Arabidopsis thaliana: one gene and its partners. The protein of the gene in region 2 binds, or shares a complex with, the protein of the main gene of each other region. Each region holds a gene or a part of one and is shown on either strand. Other genes may lie near its edges.

Region 1 (8,013 bases), on a different chromosome or scaffold from region 2:
AAATCCGTCTTGCCAAAAAGCCATTTATTTTATTAATATTGATTTTATTTATGATATAAGTCTGAATTATAATCTAAACATTTTAGCTAATAACATAGGAGTGCACCATATTTATTTAATAGGGGAATGTACCATATGACCCGAATGCACTTTTACCCAAATCCACCAAAAAAGTCTTGCAAAACTACTATAGACCCGAATGTACCATATTTTTTTGTGCTAATTTTTATGTGATTAAGATTTAATTGATTTCGTATATAAAATATTAAATTGTTTTACGAACTTATTTGTTTATAATTTGGTAACAGATAGATAATTGAATATTCAGTATATTTTGCTTCAGTTTAGGAAATCTTTAATGACCCGTCTTTAAATCCAATAAGCCCTATAATTAAGAGATGAATATTGTCGTTAAATGATTTTGGTAATCTTAATGATGTCATTAAAAGATTTTGTTTTTGATTAAATTTTTCTAATGGCATTGTCATGTAATTAATTACAAAAATTAAGGTTACATTTAAAATGTACTTCCCAAATAATATAGTAGGACGATATGCACTTTTATCCAAATCCACCAAAAAAGTCTTGCAAATATACTATAGAGATAAGAAACGATAGTCGGTTTTGATAGGTATATGATTAGCAAATATATTAGTTCGCTTAAATTAGTTAAAGAATACAAATTGAAAAGGTATATTACACTTTATTCGAATATAGTATCAAAACTTATATAGAGATTTGATAAATTTTTAATTGTTGAATACTTTTTTTTTGTGCTAATTTTATGTGATTAAGATTTAGTTGATTTCGTATATAAAATATTAAATTGTTTTACGAACTTATTTGTTTATAATTTGGTAACAGATAGATATTTGAATATTCAGTATATTTTGCTTCAGTTTAGGAAATCTTTGATGAGTTGTCTTTAGATCCAATAAGCCCTGTAATCTAGATATTAACTTGCAGTATACCGCAGGTAGGCTTATATTTTAGTTCAACTAAAAACTTTTATTGTAAAGATGATTTAAAAATATATGATATTATTTTATTTGATTTTAAATGTATAGTAAACTGTGAGTTGTATATATTTTTTGATATTATCTATATTGTTTAGTGTTTAAGATTATACACTTGTAGTTTGATTGTTAATTTAAGAGTTTCACCTGTAGTATACCATCTTGTATTAATATCGATCTAATCCCGTCAATTCTAGGATTTTCCAGCTTGTATTAAAAATTGAATCACATCTAATATGTTATTAATTATTGTAGTATATAAGATTATAAATTTTCAATATAATATGTATGAAATTGAATATAAATATTTCAAATTATGACATGTTACTCAGTAGAAAGTTTTCTTAAATCTATTTTTCACCCGTTATAATATTTTTTCATGTATTGAACAGTTTATATTCGTTTTTAAAAATTCAAATTATGGCATATGCGAAAAAACTCTAATTATTTTTCTATAATGATGATATTATTTTTCGGCAAAAATAGAATCATATAAAGATGAGAAGTAAACTATAATAATTAATAAAAAATTAATATGATAATTTAGATATCAAATCTAATTTGTTGATTTTAATTGGTTACTTTTTTGGGAATTAATAATGTATTTTGTTTTTCTAATTAAATTAAATTAATTAAAATTTAGATATCAAATCTTATATGTTGATTTTGATTGGTTATTATTTTTGGAAATTAATAATGTATTTCGTTTTTAATTAAATTTAATTAATTAAATTAGTATTTGACTTTTTAATCCTCAAAGAGATAAATTAATTTACTCTTTAAAATTTTATTTCTAATGACATACCTATGTAATTACTTACAAAAATTAAAGTTATATTTAAAATGTACTTCCCAAATAATATAGTAGGATGAATCTAATAACCCAAAATTTATAAAGATTTAAATTATAATCAACAGTTTGATCATCTTGTTCATACAAAATTTCGTATAAGACATTAATTAACAAAGCAAAAAATCATATATCAAAATAGACACATATTAACAAAGGATTAATAATTTAATAGTTGTGAAAAGCCTTTCCAGTTTCTTCCACGGCCTAGCTCCTCCGTCTTTACGCTCTCTCATCAAACTCGAGAAAAAAAAGTGGCGCCTCTGCAATTTCAATTTTCAAATCCTAATAATTTTTCTCTCGCTTCCCGGAGAACGGAACCCTAATTTCTCGACGCAGACATGATTTTGAGAACTCCGCAGCCGAAGAGGCTCAGGTCCGACGCCGGAGAAAGCCCCTTCCCCACCGGCGCTACTGGTTCCGGCAATCAGCTAATCATCTACGAAGATTCTCCTCTTCCTGCTCCTGCTCCGCTACAAACTTCTCATGATCATTCGGCGGATCAACATCTTTGCACCTATCAATGCCGCCAAATGGTCACTACTTATACCTATCTATCTATATCCCCTCACGAAGATTAGCGAATCTGAGGTTTGTTCTTGTTGTTGTTAGGTTAAAGCTGATGTTCTAGATGCCTTGAGCACAGCAGAGAAACAAGTTGAGGAATCTAAAACCAAATTACAGACTCTTAATGCCAACTTCACCGAAGCAGGTGAGAGATCGTTTGTGAATTCGAAATTACAAAGGTCTTGATTCCGAATGTCTCTGCTTTAACTGTTGTTAACGAATTTGATTTTGATATTCTACAACAGATGCTGAAAGAAAGCATTTTCGAGATAAATTCTTATACTCAGAGCAAGAGCTTGCTGCTGCTAAAGCGCGTGAGAAAATGCTTCAGGAGCAGCTTCTTATGGAGATCAACAATTCTCAAGAGCGGTATACCAAAGAACTACAATCTTGCCATGAACTGGAGGTTGATCTAACTATTAAATTGACTTGAAATTTCTCGTTTTACTTGGTGTCATTGGTGCCAGTATCATTAACTGAATCCTTATAGGTAAAACTTCAAAATGAAATGAACCTTCGAAAGAAAGCGGAGTCTTCTGCTGCAACAGCTGAGGAAAAAGCTAAACTTTTGGAGGATAAACTAACTCAGCTATCTGGAAGTGTGGACAGGGAGAAGAAACGTCTCAACAATGATATTGCTCAACTGGGTAAAGAAGCAAAGCTTTCTGTGGCTAGGATTGGTGCAGATGTAAGTATCGATTAAGAAACTTGATAGCTTGACTGAAGTTTTGTTTTTGGTTTCTCATGCAATTATCGTATTTGCACCTGTTTTCCTTTGCTTTTAGCTTGAAAGGATGCAATGTAGGGCACAAAATGCTGAGACGGAATCAAATCTTTTAAGATCACAACTGGAGCATCTTAAACTGATATTTGACGAGGTAAGCTATGTTTGACGTGCATCTTAGATAATAATAACACCAGTCATAAGTCATCATTTGCTTTGGTAATTTATTTTGCTTTCTCATATGATTCTTTTTATGCAGTGTTTGCAAGAAAAGACTGAAGTAGACAAGAAGCTATCGTCATTCACTTCGGAGGCAGCATCTTCTTCAGATAACAGTGTATTGGTTAAACATCTTCAGGAAGAACTTAAACGCTATGTAAGTTTTACCAGTTCTTAGTCTACCCGAGTAATGATTTTACAAAGTTGTTACATAAGATGAATCATTTATTGAAAATGAGTATGAAAGTGGTCAGGACATTGATCATAACTCTCTGTTTTATTCACCAATAGAAGCTGTACTCGTTCTTGATTACCATGAGAAACTTTGCATTACATACCCAGAATCAATGATTTCTATTTTCTGTTGATTACTCTCATAAGCAGCAAATCACGGAGAGAGATTATGCAAGTTTTTAAACACTTGAAATTTACTCAAAACACTCGTTAAATTTTTTTTCTTAAAATGGTCGTCTTATTTACTTAGGCTATCTAAGACAATTCATAAGTAAAAGAGTTTACTTTTCAAGAAAAGTGAGGTAATATAGAATGATGTATTTTTCATGTAACACTAGTTATGCAAGTCAAATTTTAATTTGATCGTAAATTCGACTCACATACTTTTCATCATTTGAAGACATGTACTATTTGTAGATTCTATTTTCGACTTCTATACTTTCCATGTAATATCTATTTAGTTTTTGTTTTTCTTGTCGATTTTGATTCTTGATAATTGTATCAGGAAGCTGAAGTGCGAGAAGCTAGAAAGTTAAAATCACGGCATTTAGATGCGGAGTTGTTGAATGTGAACTTATTAGAAGAACAAAGCCGTAGGGAGAGGGCAGAGTCAGAGTTATCAAAATTTCATGACTTGCAGCTAAGCATGGAAAAGTTGGAGAATGAATTGTCCTCTTGGAAGTCATTGCTAAATGACATTCCTGGTGTGTCCTGTCCTGATGACATAGTTATGAGATTCTCGGTGCTACAGAAGTATGTCAACATGATCTATACAGAATTTATCTTTTCACTAGAGTCTTCTTCTGATATTGTTTCAAATAATTATGCCTGCCATGAAATATTCTGTGCGGAGAGACTGAGGTAGTTGTTACGGGGCATTTTCCTGACTTTATAGGTGAACTAGATAGTATTTATCAGAGACATCTGTAACACCACTTTGTCCAGATATGGCTTTATATTTTACAGATATTCTGGCTTGCTAGTCTAGCAGGTCTAATGTGTCTGTGAGCATCTAGAGTATTGATTTCTAGTTTACCAAGCACTCTGAGTTAACACATGTATCTATGATACTTCCTAGTGACTTGTGTTTCTGCCTTTGAAGTGAGGTGGTTCAAAGCACTATGAAGATTGGGGAAGCAAGTACCCGTATTAAACAACTGGAGGAGACACTGGAGGCTATACAACTTGGCAGACAGAATGCTGTAAGTGAGGCTGCATTAGCGAAAGAGAAATCTGAGGCTCTCAAAACAGACGTGAAGAGAATTGAAGTAATGGTAAGTTTGAAAATTGTTGCTGGTGCTCTGTAAGGGGTCACAAATGCACTTTTATTTTGCTGGCATCAATTAAAGCCTCTTAAGTTGATTTTTGATTCTCGAGAGATAAAGGATAGCATTTTCAATTGGTGACACTCAAATGCTCATCATTTTATATTCATTATTCTTGTTTATTGATTGTTTGCTTGGTTTCTCTAGGTTCACTGTCTTTGCTTGGATATATACTAGCTCAGCTCTGTATTTCATGTTGATTGTTGATCTATGCATTCATAAGAAGCTGATAGAAGTAATATAGTTAGAGACGATATTCATAGGATAATATCCCTAGTATTTTTGGATGTTCACGTTGGGTTTGTTATCAATTAGTACAGATTTAATATCTCTATATATGTGGGGAAAGTCTGTTTGTTCCTAATGAGTGTATTCAATTGTTAGATTTTGGTGCAAATTCCTTCGTATCCAAACATGAGTCTATCACGAATTTATGATGAGTTGATTTATCCATAATATAGTGTCCTTTCAGGATAAGAGATAATGTGTGTAGTATAGAATTTGTTGCAAACAACTTTTTATTTAATCATGAATCTATCACAATTCAAGGGAATTAAGTTTATAGTGTCTCATTGGAGGTAACTTTTTATAATTTTCTATCAGTTTGTTGCACTATTACTAACAGAGCTTTAATTTGTAATAAAGCTCACTTTGGTCACGGAGGAGAAAGAACAGTTGAAAGCTGTTGTTAATGAATTAAGGAAGTCAAACAGTGAAGGATCTGTGTCTGGAGCCGCAGATGGAGCCCTTATTCAGGTTCTAGAATAACACAGTTCTTATTTTGAAGATTTTCCTTCTTTTTTGTTGGAAGCATAAAGCTTATTTTGCTTATATATACAGGGGTTTGAATCTTCTCTTGCAAAGAAGGAGAACTATATTAAGGATTTAGAGCAGGATCTAAATCAACTGAAGGATGTCAATAATCGTCAACGTACTGAAATAGAACTTCTAAATGAGAAACTAGTTGATGAAGCAAGGAGGAATAAGTCGCTGGAAAGGGATAGTGATCGTCTTCGCTCTGAGATCTCTTTACTGGAGTCAAAGGTACAGATGCTAGAGATGTGTGCTTGTAAAAAAGATTGCCAAAGAAAATATTTGCTTATGGAACTTTCATCTGCCATGGTCGAAATGAATAATAAAAGTTTTTAAGGGTGAATGGCGAATTTTATGTCCTGCATCTTATGTTTTTCTTAGGTTTCATGGAAGATTTTATTATTGTAAAAGCGAATAGAAATGCTATTTAGGACCTCTAACTTCTACCCTAGAGTTTGATCTGAACAGTAACATATATTTGGCAGCTGGGTCATGGTGATTATTCTGCCGCAAATACAAGGGTTTTGCGCATGGTGAATACTCTTGGTGTTGAAAACGAGGCAAAACAAACAATAGAGGCTTTACAAGCTGAGTTACAGAAGACAAAAGAAAGACTTCAAGCTGTTGAAGAATTAAAGAGCCAGTCTGGTAAATTTCTGATTGTCGACCTTTCCTGTTTTTGATACTGAGTTTGCTACAAGTCTACCATTCAATTTTACTCTCACCACAAAATTCACTGGAGAAGCATACCTTAATTTCTCTGTGACCCTATTCTCTACATCATATTCTATGTTTCCGAGAATAAAAGGGAGGGCCAAAATCTTTCTGTTGATCTGCCTCCGGAGGACTTGAGAAGAAATATTGTAGTGTTTCAAAAATGTTATTCTTATTTACTAAATATGCTTTACTGTAAATTCTTTTTCATGAATATTCAGGAGATGCTGGGAAGCTAGTTGACTCTCATATAACTGGAAAGATTGCTCAACTAAAAGAGCAAAATGCTACGCTTGAAAAACGTGAAGAGAGGTTTGTTACTGATAAATGTTTAACATGTCCTTTGTGCAAATATGACCTTGATTTCCCATACTAAAACATATGTGGAGCCTATGAATTATGAAACAGGTACAAAACTGTTTTTGCTGATAGAATTTCCGTGTTTAGAAGGGCTTGTTGTGAGCTTTTTGGTTATAAGGTATGCCACTTGCTCATAATTATGTCGTAGCACTCAAATTTTATTCTTTAGCATTACAATGGTTCCCTGAAGGCAATGATTCTGGATATTTCAGTTTTCTGAATGTTGACTATCACATTGTAAAATGTAATGTTCGTACTTTTGTCCATTTTTTACGGTCTATGAACTGCGCGTTTCTGTTGCAAAGAGGGATTCAGCTATTGCTATCTATAGTTTTCCTTACCTTCCGTTATTCGTGTAGATAGATGATCAAAGAGTCTTATTCATCTACAGAACTTGTAAACTTGTGAATTCCTTTTGAAAACTCTGGCAGATTGTAATGGACGAACATCAGCGTCCCAATGGAATCCCAGTGACTCGGTTTACTCTCCAGTCTATATATGCTCAAAGTGATGATGAAAAACTCGAGTTTGAATACGAGTCAGGAAACACCAGTATTCTAGTAAGTGATTCTTGTAAATTGTATAACTTTGATATGCTGCATTTGAATCAGTTAATCAACTGATACTGATTTAATTCCTTCAGAACAATGAGTATGCCTCTCAGGGCGACATAGCGAAGCAGGTAAAGTACAGACATAGTTTTCTTCCTTCATAAGCGCAGTGTTCTCAGTGAAGTGTAAAAACTCATTCTGTGTGTTTCTTGCAGATAGAAATATTCATCAGGAAATTCAACTCGATTCCAGCTTTTACAGCCAACTTAACGATGGAATCATTCAACCGTCGGACGCTATATTGAGAGCACTGCGTCCTTATTTCCAACTCTGTGTTTTGTATATTTCTAAAGCCTGCTGAATAGAAACTGAAACTCGAAAGCCGCAGCTTAAAACACTGGCCTTATCTATGTCTACCTCTGGTTCGTTATGTCTGCTATAATTGTGGTGTCAGTAACTCTATTTTGGTATGAAAGAAACTAGTTTCGATTTACTCAGAAAGAATATCTAATGTCATTCTCTGATTATGCGTTTATTACTTTATAGTCACCAAAAACAGTAACACTTGAATATCAAGCAAACAGATTTTTATATAACCATGAATTTAAAACACAAATAATACACAGACTACCTACATGTA
Region 2 (3,840 bases):
CATGTTTAGAGAAACCTGCAATCATCGAATTCCACGAAATCAAGTCTTTTGAGCCACCCAAGCCATCAAAAACTCTCTTTGCATCTGATACTGACCCACAATCTGCATAAGAGCTGATCATCGCATTGCATATAGTGATCTCGTGTTGAAGCCCGAGTTTCAAAACCTTAGCATGAACTTGCTTTAACAAGTTACAAAACATAGGATCATCAAGCAAAGTAAGAAGTGGAGCGAAAGTGCCAGCATCCATAGTCACAGCAGCTTTCATCTCCATCAAACCCAACAACCAAAAAGCAGTCTTGATATCTCGCACTTGCACAAATCCAGCAATCAAAGCATTCCATGAAACAGAGTTAGGCTCTGAAATCTCCTTAAAAGCCTCAAAAGCATCTTCAACTCTTTCACATTTCGCATACATATCAACAAGCGAACTTCCAACATACACATTACACTCATAACCTCCCTTTATAACCAAACCATGCACTTGCTCTCCAAGATCGAACCTTTTCACAGAAGCAATCCCTTTCAACAACCTACTAAAACTATACCCATCAACATCAGATCCAGATCTCTTCATACATGTAAATAAACACCATGCATCCTCCAATTTCCCACAGCTTGTGTACCCAGAAATCATTGTGTTCCAAGACACGGAATCTCTCTTAGGCATTTCATCGAACAACATATTGGCATAACCCAAGAAGCCAAATTTTATATAAGAATCCAAAATTCGATTGGATACGTATATATCTGAGATGGAACCACATTTAATAGCGTAACAGTGAGTGAGTGAAAGCTTTTGGAAAGAGTTTAAAGAGCTCTCTAGTAGAGAGGCTAACAACGCTTTCATTCATCTGTTTCTCTGTGTTCATATGATGTCAACATCAAAGAGAGTTTATTTTATTTTATTTATGTATAAAAATATATTTTAATTATGCTTTTTTTTGGTCAAATAATCAGTTTATTATTAACTTATATATATACCTGAATTTACCTAGTAATGGATTATCAAGTGGCTAGTTAGTTTGATAAATTTGTGTTAATAACCTTATGTGGATTAATAATGGCTTAATTAAGTAAATCAAAACACATTTGAAGTTTGAGTTATTTGTAAAATTGTATTTTTTCAGTTAGACTGGAAAAAAATACCTTAGTTTTTTTTTTTTTTTTTTCTAGATTTCGGTCATGGGTGTCACGACATAAATTTATATATACATATATATGAAGTATATTTGAAATCTATTTAAAAAAAAAAGTCATAGATGAGTCGATTTACCAATAGAAACTACAAAATTTACCTTTCAACACTTAAAAGGCTTCTTAAAATTTTGATTGATGCTTCATTCGTTTATCAAAGAGACATACGGCTTAAAAGTTAAAAACCACATGGCGAGTCTAAATCCGTATGGCAGAAAACTATGGACTTTTCTATTAAATTTTTAAAACAAAGTTATTATATATTTAATATTTGGTGTATTTCTTTTAAATGTAAAATGTGTTGCAAACCAAAAATAATAATTATTACAATGGTTTGTAGAGATGTTGCTATTGGCTAAAAATAATTTGTTGTTTTTTTATATTTGATATTTTAAAAATTCTGGTAATGATATTATATTGTTTTTTTAAAAAAAATTAGTGGATTCGACCTTAAACTATAATAACCCAAACTAGCCGTTGCAAGTGCATTTCCGAGGAAGACTAGCCGTTACGCTCTTATTCCTTTTTTTTTCTTTTTCTTTCTTTCCTTCTTTTTAATCCTTCCCTCAAATATCTTTTTTTCCCTTCAAAATCATTAAAACCCTAAGCGACGCTGTTAACACTTGCGAATTCAATTTTCAAAATCACCGATCCTTAGACTCCATGGCGTCCAAAACAGCGGCTGCTAAAGATATCATCACTTTACACGGATCTGCTGCCATCGTCAGCGAATTCTTCTGTACGTATCTTCATTTTTTCTTAGACTCAATTTCAGATATCTTCTTCTCGATTTGATGTTTTTTTTTTCCTTCTTCTTCTTCCTCCAGGTTACGCTGCGAACAGGTGAGAATTGGATCGGAACTTTTCAATTTCAGTGTCTGGAAATCTTCGATTCTGTGATTTTTTTACAGTGAAATTGATTCGTTATTGGTTTCTGGGTACAGTATATTGTATAATCGTGCAGTTTATCCAGAGGAAAGTTTTGTGAAAGTGAAGAAATATGGACTTCCGATGTTGCTTATTGAAGATGAATCCGTCAAATCTTTCATGTCTAATCTCACTTCTCAGATCTCCGGTAATTTTACAAATGTCAGACTTTTATTCAATGATTCCTTTTGTGAGAGAGTCTGAGACTTGATTTTGTTTTTGGTCTAAAGAATGGCTTGAAGCTGGGAAGTTGCAGAGAGTAGTGTTAGTGATTATGAGTAAAGCTACTGGTGAAGTCTTGGAGAGGTGGAATTTTCGTATTGAGACTGATAATGAAGTTGTTGACAAAGGGTCAGTTTTTTGTTTTTAGTGTTGATACTTTCGCAAGTTTGTTTGTTTTCTTTGATTCTTTGTTTCATTATGTTATCTTTATGGAACTTTTTAGTGTGTCGAGGGAGAAGAGTGATAAGGAGATCATGAGGGAGATTCAAGCTATTATGAGACAGGTTGCTTCAAGTGTTACTTACTTGCCTTGTCTTGATGAAACATGTAAGAACCAATTCATAGGAACTTTGAGTGATCATCATTTCGGAACTAGTTTGATTTGGATTCTCGTTTTTGATTGTGCATGTTGTTTGTATTAGGTGTGTTTGATGTATTGGCGTATACGGATACTGATGTGGCTGTTCCATTCACTTGGATCGAGAGCGACCCGAAGTTGATTGCTAATCCACAGATGGTTAAGTTACACGGTTTTGATACCAAGGTAAGGAGGAGGAAGAATTTTGAAACCTTTATTTATACACTTTGAAATGTCTAAGTATTTTGGTGGTTTCATACTTTGCAGATTCACAAAGTCGACACGCTTGTCTCATACAAGAACGACGAGTGGGATGAAGAAGAGTAACAGAAGTCGGGACACACGTATGCAAGGCTCTTTGTTCAGCTTGCGTTTATCTCTTTGGGAGTTCTCATTGTTCTTAAAGGCACGTGAATCCTTTATTCACACACCTATATCGTTTTCTCTTCTGTTTTTTTTCTTTTTCTGAATTGTATGAGAATTGGAATCCTGTACTTGTGTTGTGTTTTGTTCAAAAGTTATCAGCTTTTTCATTGTCCCTGTCTCTTGTACTGAACCGTTTTGTTTACCAATCAAACTTTATGGCTCTTGGATCAAAAAGAGATTTCTCAATAAACAAATCAAATTCCTCTGATTCACAATGGCATGTCAAAAGAGGTGCATATGTACAGTGACTGATGAAAATAAAGTATTTTGGATCAAAAAAAGCTATTTATAGTGACTGATGAAAAATAAAAGGTTTCTTCTAGCCTTCTGTAGTAACCGTTTTCTCATCTCATTCCTCTGTATAAGCGACCGGATTGAAGCTCGTCCATATTGTCTATGTTTTGAAACGCGTCAAACTCTCTCAGACATGTCCATCCTCGTCGAGCCAAGAAATCTCGGTAATCTTCTTCGGTGTAGAATATCTTCTCCTCTTGATGGACTGGTAACGGATCAGATTCATCATAGTGGCACACTCTAACGGCTATCCCTGAATTCAAATGGATATTGAGAAACCTCTAACCAGAGAGTATTCGATGAATAGCATAGAAGAAAGAGTGGATTTACCTTCATCAATGCGGAGTATATAGTTCCCTAAAGGCATGTCTCGGTCAAGAGAGCGAATAACCTGTTCTTCATCTTCTAGCCAAAAA
Region 3 (4,523 bases), on a different chromosome or scaffold from region 2:
TTCTGAGAAGCTGCTGCAGTTGTCGTTGAGAGAGAGGTGGTGAAATTCTCCGCCGAAGTGAAGTTCGATGAGGAGAGTAAGGTGGTGGTGGTGGTGGTGGTGACGGCGGAGCAGGGACGAGCGGTGGAGATGAGGTTGTGGTAGTAAGGAGGAAGGTTCCAGACAATCATGACGAGAGAGAGAGCTAGTAATGTAGCAATTATTGGTTTCTTCTCGAAACATACTGTGGTGGTTGATAACACCGGCGGCAAAACTTCCTTCCTCATGTTTTTTTTCCCGACGACGGTGAGTAAAACGCACCGTTTCGGTTATCAATTATTTAAAAATTAAAAAAATTCAAAAGTGACGACAAGCGTCAGAGAGAAGTGACGAGAGGCTTTGCCGACACGGCGTGTAGAAATTAGAAGACTCGTGGCTGTCTCACATATGATATGAGGAGTGATGTGGTGGAGGTTATACGAGAATGGGCTTGGATCTATTATGATTTACGAAAAAGACACTGCATCTAACTTGTAAAAAGTTGGATCAAGTCTGTTTTATGTATTGCTGGCTCCCAATTGGCAGCATGGTGGGGACACATGGTCCTTTGGGCAAGTTGGCGTAACGGTGTACCTTCTTTGGTGATGATTTAGTTTCGGTTAGAGAAATCGAATGAGTTTGGGCACGGAAAGGTGAAATGTGAATAGACTCGTTAAAGAGTTTGTGAATTCCCAGCAAAAAGTAAAAAAAAAAAGTGTGTTCTAAATTCCTTTGAATGTAGACTTTGTTTTAAACATTTGAATTAAAAACATGATTTGTTCTTCCAGTTATGGAATTCTTAAACGTACGGCAAAAGGCTTTTAGTTTTAGACTTTAGTAATAACAAGCAAAATGTATATTGATTGCGAATACGATTGCATGCATTTAAAGACTTGTTTTTTTTTCCAAACTTAAACGTCAATAAAGGAGATCATGTGTGTCACATTCCCAAACTGAAGGATACCATAAATATCAATTCTTTTATTATGTTTTCTTCATTTCATTTTCTTCAATAAACTGTTACTGTTTTATTGTCGGTGGAAGTTGTTACAATGGAAAAACAGACTTTGTATACAACTTCTAATCTTGAGTACGTTTTGTTTAGGAATTCATAATTGAGCACACTAGGTTTAGCGTGTAACGCAATGTATGTGATCATCCCTTGTTGAACCGACAGACAGAGAGCATCTTGTGGTTGTGGATGAACTTTTTTTTAGCTTCCAAGTCAAAAAGTGAATTATGCTCGTAATTTATTTAAAGAAGGTAAAAAAAGAGTACATCTTCTCTTTTATCTTTTGCTTTGATTGTTATTCTCCAAAAGACCAAAACCATCTAATTTAGAAGAAAACAAAACAGTAAAAATAATTTTCTCTGGATTATTGTGTTATTTTGTTCAGCCAATTGAATTAATGAAGTGTATTCTGTCATTTCTTTTACTATTTTACTTTCGCTCATTGTCATTTTTCTTCTCTTATCGATTATTTGTAGTAGGAGTATACACAATTCGGTTTAGATGGCCACTTAATGGGTTTAAGAAATCAAATCATGGCCCATCTAAGTTAGGCCCATCAAAAGCGTCTATACGCTCCGAGTATGCGTACATCAAAGCAAAAAGTTGCGAAGCTCTCTCATTGAGTAAACTAACGGCTATATTCTCTCTGATATTCAAAATTTGCTCGAAGAAACGACGATGGCAGCCGAAACGAAGGTTCAGGTTTCAGATCCAGAGGCAGAGTTTCTTAATTCGAAGCAGGAGACTGGATACGAGTGGGAGCTTTTCAAGGAGAACGTCCGGCCATTGAAGAGAGGTCGCAATGTTGGTATTCTCAACCACGCTCTCAAATCTCACTCTGACCACCAATTGAGAAAGAATCTCATCGAGAAACGCAGGTACTGATTTCAATCTCACATCTTTGCTCTTGGGTTTTAGTCTAATCGCTCGATTCTTGTCTAATTTTGTGTTGTTTTTGTGAATTAGGAATTTGATTGAAGCCATTGATGAGTATGAAGGAGATGACCCTTTATCTCCATGGATAGAGTGAGTTCCTTTTATCATTCTTGATTGGGTTGTTGAAAAATTGAAATTTTTCTTGAACCAATCTTTATGCTGTGACCAATTTGTAAACTGAGCTTCTTAATTGGTTTCTTTGGAAGGTGTATAAAATGGGTACAAGAGGCTTTTCCACCAGGAGGAGAATGTTCAGGACTGTTAGTGATATATGAGCAATGTGTTCGTAAATTTTGGCACTCTGAACGTTACAAGGATGATCTTCGTTATCTTAAAGTCTGGTTGGAATATGTAATGATTCTATCTTTAATTAAACCCTCTAGATGATTCTTTCTTTGTTATGGAGAGAGTACTCATAGTTTTTGTGTGTGTTTTGAAGGCGGAGCATTGCGCTGATGCGGAAGTGATTTACAAGTTTTTGGAGGTCAATGAGATTGGAAAGACACATGCTGTCTACTATATAGCTTATGCTTTGCACATTGAGTTTAAGAATAAGGTCAAAACTGCTAATGAGATCTTCAATCTTGGAATCTCTAGGTAAATGAACAGATATGTAATCTTACTTTCATGTTTCGGCTCCAAGTTATTGGTCTGATTTGAAAGTGGGAACTTGTGCAGGGATGCAAAGCCAGTGGAAAAGTTGAATGACGCGTACAAGAAGTTTATGGTGAGAACGATGAGAAGGTCCAACACAGCTGATGAAGTAAAAAGTTTTGTCTCTTTGTAACACTTTATATCTATTCATTATGGACTAAGGTTTTTCCTAATCATAATTAATGTTCTACCTACCAGCAGGAACCAAAGGAGAATAATGACTTACCGTCAAGAAGCTTTGGCACTTTATTGTCCAGGGGAGATAATAGTGAGTCACATTAACTTAACTTGGAAACCACTGAAATGTTTTGGTAAGCTATCTTACATGAAAATGTTTTCTGTAGATGCAAGAAGGCAGGCGTTAGGAAGTTCTAACCCACAAGCCAAAAAGCTAAAGCCAAATCAGTAAGTAGTTTGATTGGTTCTATATTTCTCGTTGTTTTCATTATCTGCATTTTCTATCAACTCATACCTTTAAATTATTCTGCAACTCACTATGGTAAGCAACTTTGTCTTTTGCAGATCATCCAAGACACCTTTTGCTATCTACGCAGATGCAGTTTCAGACACCACATCAGGGAATCAACCAGAGTCAGACAAGTCAAGACCAGAGTTTGGTAGTTGGCTCATGCTTGGAGGCAGAGCAGAGAGGAACAAAGAAAACAATTCTTTACCTAGAAAATGGGCATCATTCAAGGTTTTCCCTCTACCCTCCTAAACAAAACTATCTCACTTGGCTCATACTATCTCTATAAATTGATCACTAACTGCATTTATATTTATTGTCACAGGTTCCTCAGAAACCCATTGTGAGAACTGTTGCAGCAGCATCTGCTTCCACCTTTGAGGTTTTTGTCGATGAAGAAGAATGTACAGAGTAAGTTTGACTAATTTTTCAGAAGTTTTCTGAACAAAACATGTTTCCACCATTAACATGATTCTGAAATGCAGAGAGGAAGAAGAAAAGAAGAAGAATGATGAAACTATCTCATCATCATCAAACGTTCTGCCCCTTAATGGCGGCCGTGAGATAAAAAAGTAAGCAAAAAAATTCCCCTAAAGATTCATTCACCAAACAAATATTATATCATGACTTGGTAGAGATCTAACAATGGTTACTTAAAAAAATGCAGAGAAACAGAGCTGCTACGACAGAACCCTTTAAGACATTTCCCACCCAACAGCTTCCTACGATGATGATATTGGACTTTCTTCTCTACACGATCTTATGGTTTGAGATTTGAGCTTTTGTCTATAAAGCTCCTTGTGTGTTTTTGCCTATTTGGATTTGTTTTTGTGATGTACTGGGATATACTATCCTACTATGTACCATGATGTGCCTTTCATGTTTTGAAATTAATGTGACTTGTCTTGTTTCAATCCTTATATGATTTGTTTCTCCTAAAGTAATCATTCTACAAAAAAAAACTTTATATCAATTTCCACTAATTAACCTAGATTACCACTTATGATTAAACTTAAGGAATCATTTTAATAATGCCCTAAATGTGGCCAAGTCATTGGTTTATATGGCAAGTGACTTTGTGATCCCAATAATTTTTTGGTCTAGTCGTCTAGGCAACTAGCGTACCTTTGTTTTAGAAAAATTCTAGAGTTTCATTGTAAATCAATGGATACGTATGGATGGGTACAAACTAGAAAAGATAATCAATCCATTGGGCATTTCTTCCATAGAAAATAAAGTGGCTTTAAACGGATGGGAGGGGGCATAAAACATAATCAAGCATTAATAGCCATTTAAATTAATGATTAAAAACGAATGATGCGATTTTGGAGATAGACTTTGAGTGGTAAACAAGGGCAAATGAAAAAAAAAACTTGGGAATTTTATTTGGTGTTAGTGGTAGGGGCATCATTTCATTTCACAATCTACCCTTTAGGG

The links.
Region 1: MAD2 (region 2) and MAD1 share a complex: the UniProt entries of both Arabidopsis thaliana proteins name them as parts of the mitotic checkpoint complex.
Region 3: MAD2 (region 2) and BUBR1 share a complex: the UniProt entries of both Arabidopsis thaliana proteins name them as parts of the mitotic checkpoint complex.

Annotation. Positions count from the first base shown.
Region 1 is NC_003076.8:20,280,098-20,288,110, forward strand, and holds MAD1 (mitotic checkpoint family protein), read left to right. Parts: upstream 1-2,013; 5' UTR 2,014-2,207; coding exon 2,208-2,402; intron 2,403-2,478; coding exon 2,479-2,578; intron 2,579-2,678; coding exon 2,679-2,839; intron 2,840-2,923; coding exon 2,924-3,121; intron 3,122-3,218; coding exon 3,219-3,311; intron 3,312-3,416; coding exon 3,417-3,533; intron 3,534-4,115; coding exon 4,116-4,363; intron 4,364-4,712; coding exon 4,713-4,884; intron 4,885-5,580; coding exon 5,581-5,691; intron 5,692-5,775; coding exon 5,776-5,979; intron 5,980-6,233; coding exon 6,234-6,396; intron 6,397-6,683; coding exon 6,684-6,774; intron 6,775-6,870; coding exon 6,871-6,940; intron 6,941-7,253; coding exon 7,254-7,382; intron 7,383-7,465; coding exon 7,466-7,504; intron 7,505-7,588; coding exon 7,589-7,678; 3' UTR 7,679-7,987; downstream 7,988-8,013. UniProt on the Arabidopsis thaliana protein: Required for the execution of the mitotic checkpoint which monitors the process of kinetochore-spindle attachment and delays the onset of anaphase when this process is not complete.
Region 2 is NC_003074.8:9,501,372-9,505,211, forward strand, and holds MAD2 (DNA-binding HORMA family protein), read left to right. Parts: upstream 1-1,684; 5' UTR 1,685-1,860; coding exon 1,861-1,936; coding exon of another isoform or gene 1,937-1,940; exon of another isoform or gene 1,941-2,024; coding exon 2,025-2,040; exon of another isoform or gene 2,041-2,141; coding exon 2,142-2,272; intron 2,273-2,354; coding exon 2,355-2,475; intron 2,476-2,569; coding exon 2,570-2,673; intron 2,674-2,768; coding exon 2,769-2,890; intron 2,891-2,971; coding exon 2,972-3,031; 3' UTR 3,032-3,299; downstream 3,300-3,840. Other genes in the region: AT3G25970 (Pentatricopeptide repeat (PPR) superfamily protein), read right to left, coding at 1-850; AT3G25990 (Homeodomain-like superfamily protein), read right to left, coding at 3,475-3,677, 3,755-3,840. UniProt on the Arabidopsis thaliana protein: Required for the execution of the mitotic checkpoint which monitors the process of kinetochore-spindle attachment and delays the onset of anaphase when this process is not complete.
Region 3 is NC_003071.7:14,213,104-14,217,626, reverse strand, and holds BUBR1 (BUB1-related (BUB1: budding uninhibited by benzymidazol 1)), read left to right. Parts: upstream 1-1,572; 5' UTR 1,573-1,708; coding exon 1,709-1,908; intron 1,909-1,996; coding exon 1,997-2,056; intron 2,057-2,172; coding exon 2,173-2,317; intron 2,318-2,405; coding exon 2,406-2,563; intron 2,564-2,644; coding exon 2,645-2,729; intron 2,730-2,818; coding exon 2,819-2,888; intron 2,889-2,964; coding exon 2,965-3,025; intron 3,026-3,142; coding exon 3,143-3,317; intron 3,318-3,411; coding exon 3,412-3,497; intron 3,498-3,571; coding exon 3,572-3,658; intron 3,659-3,753; coding exon 3,754-3,817; 3' UTR 3,818-4,023; downstream 4,024-4,523. Other genes in the region: GALS1 (glycosyltransferase family protein (DUF23)), read right to left, coding at 1-266. UniProt on the Arabidopsis thaliana protein: Essential component of the mitotic checkpoint. Required for normal mitosis progression. The mitotic checkpoint delays anaphase until all chromosomes are properly attached to the mitotic spindle.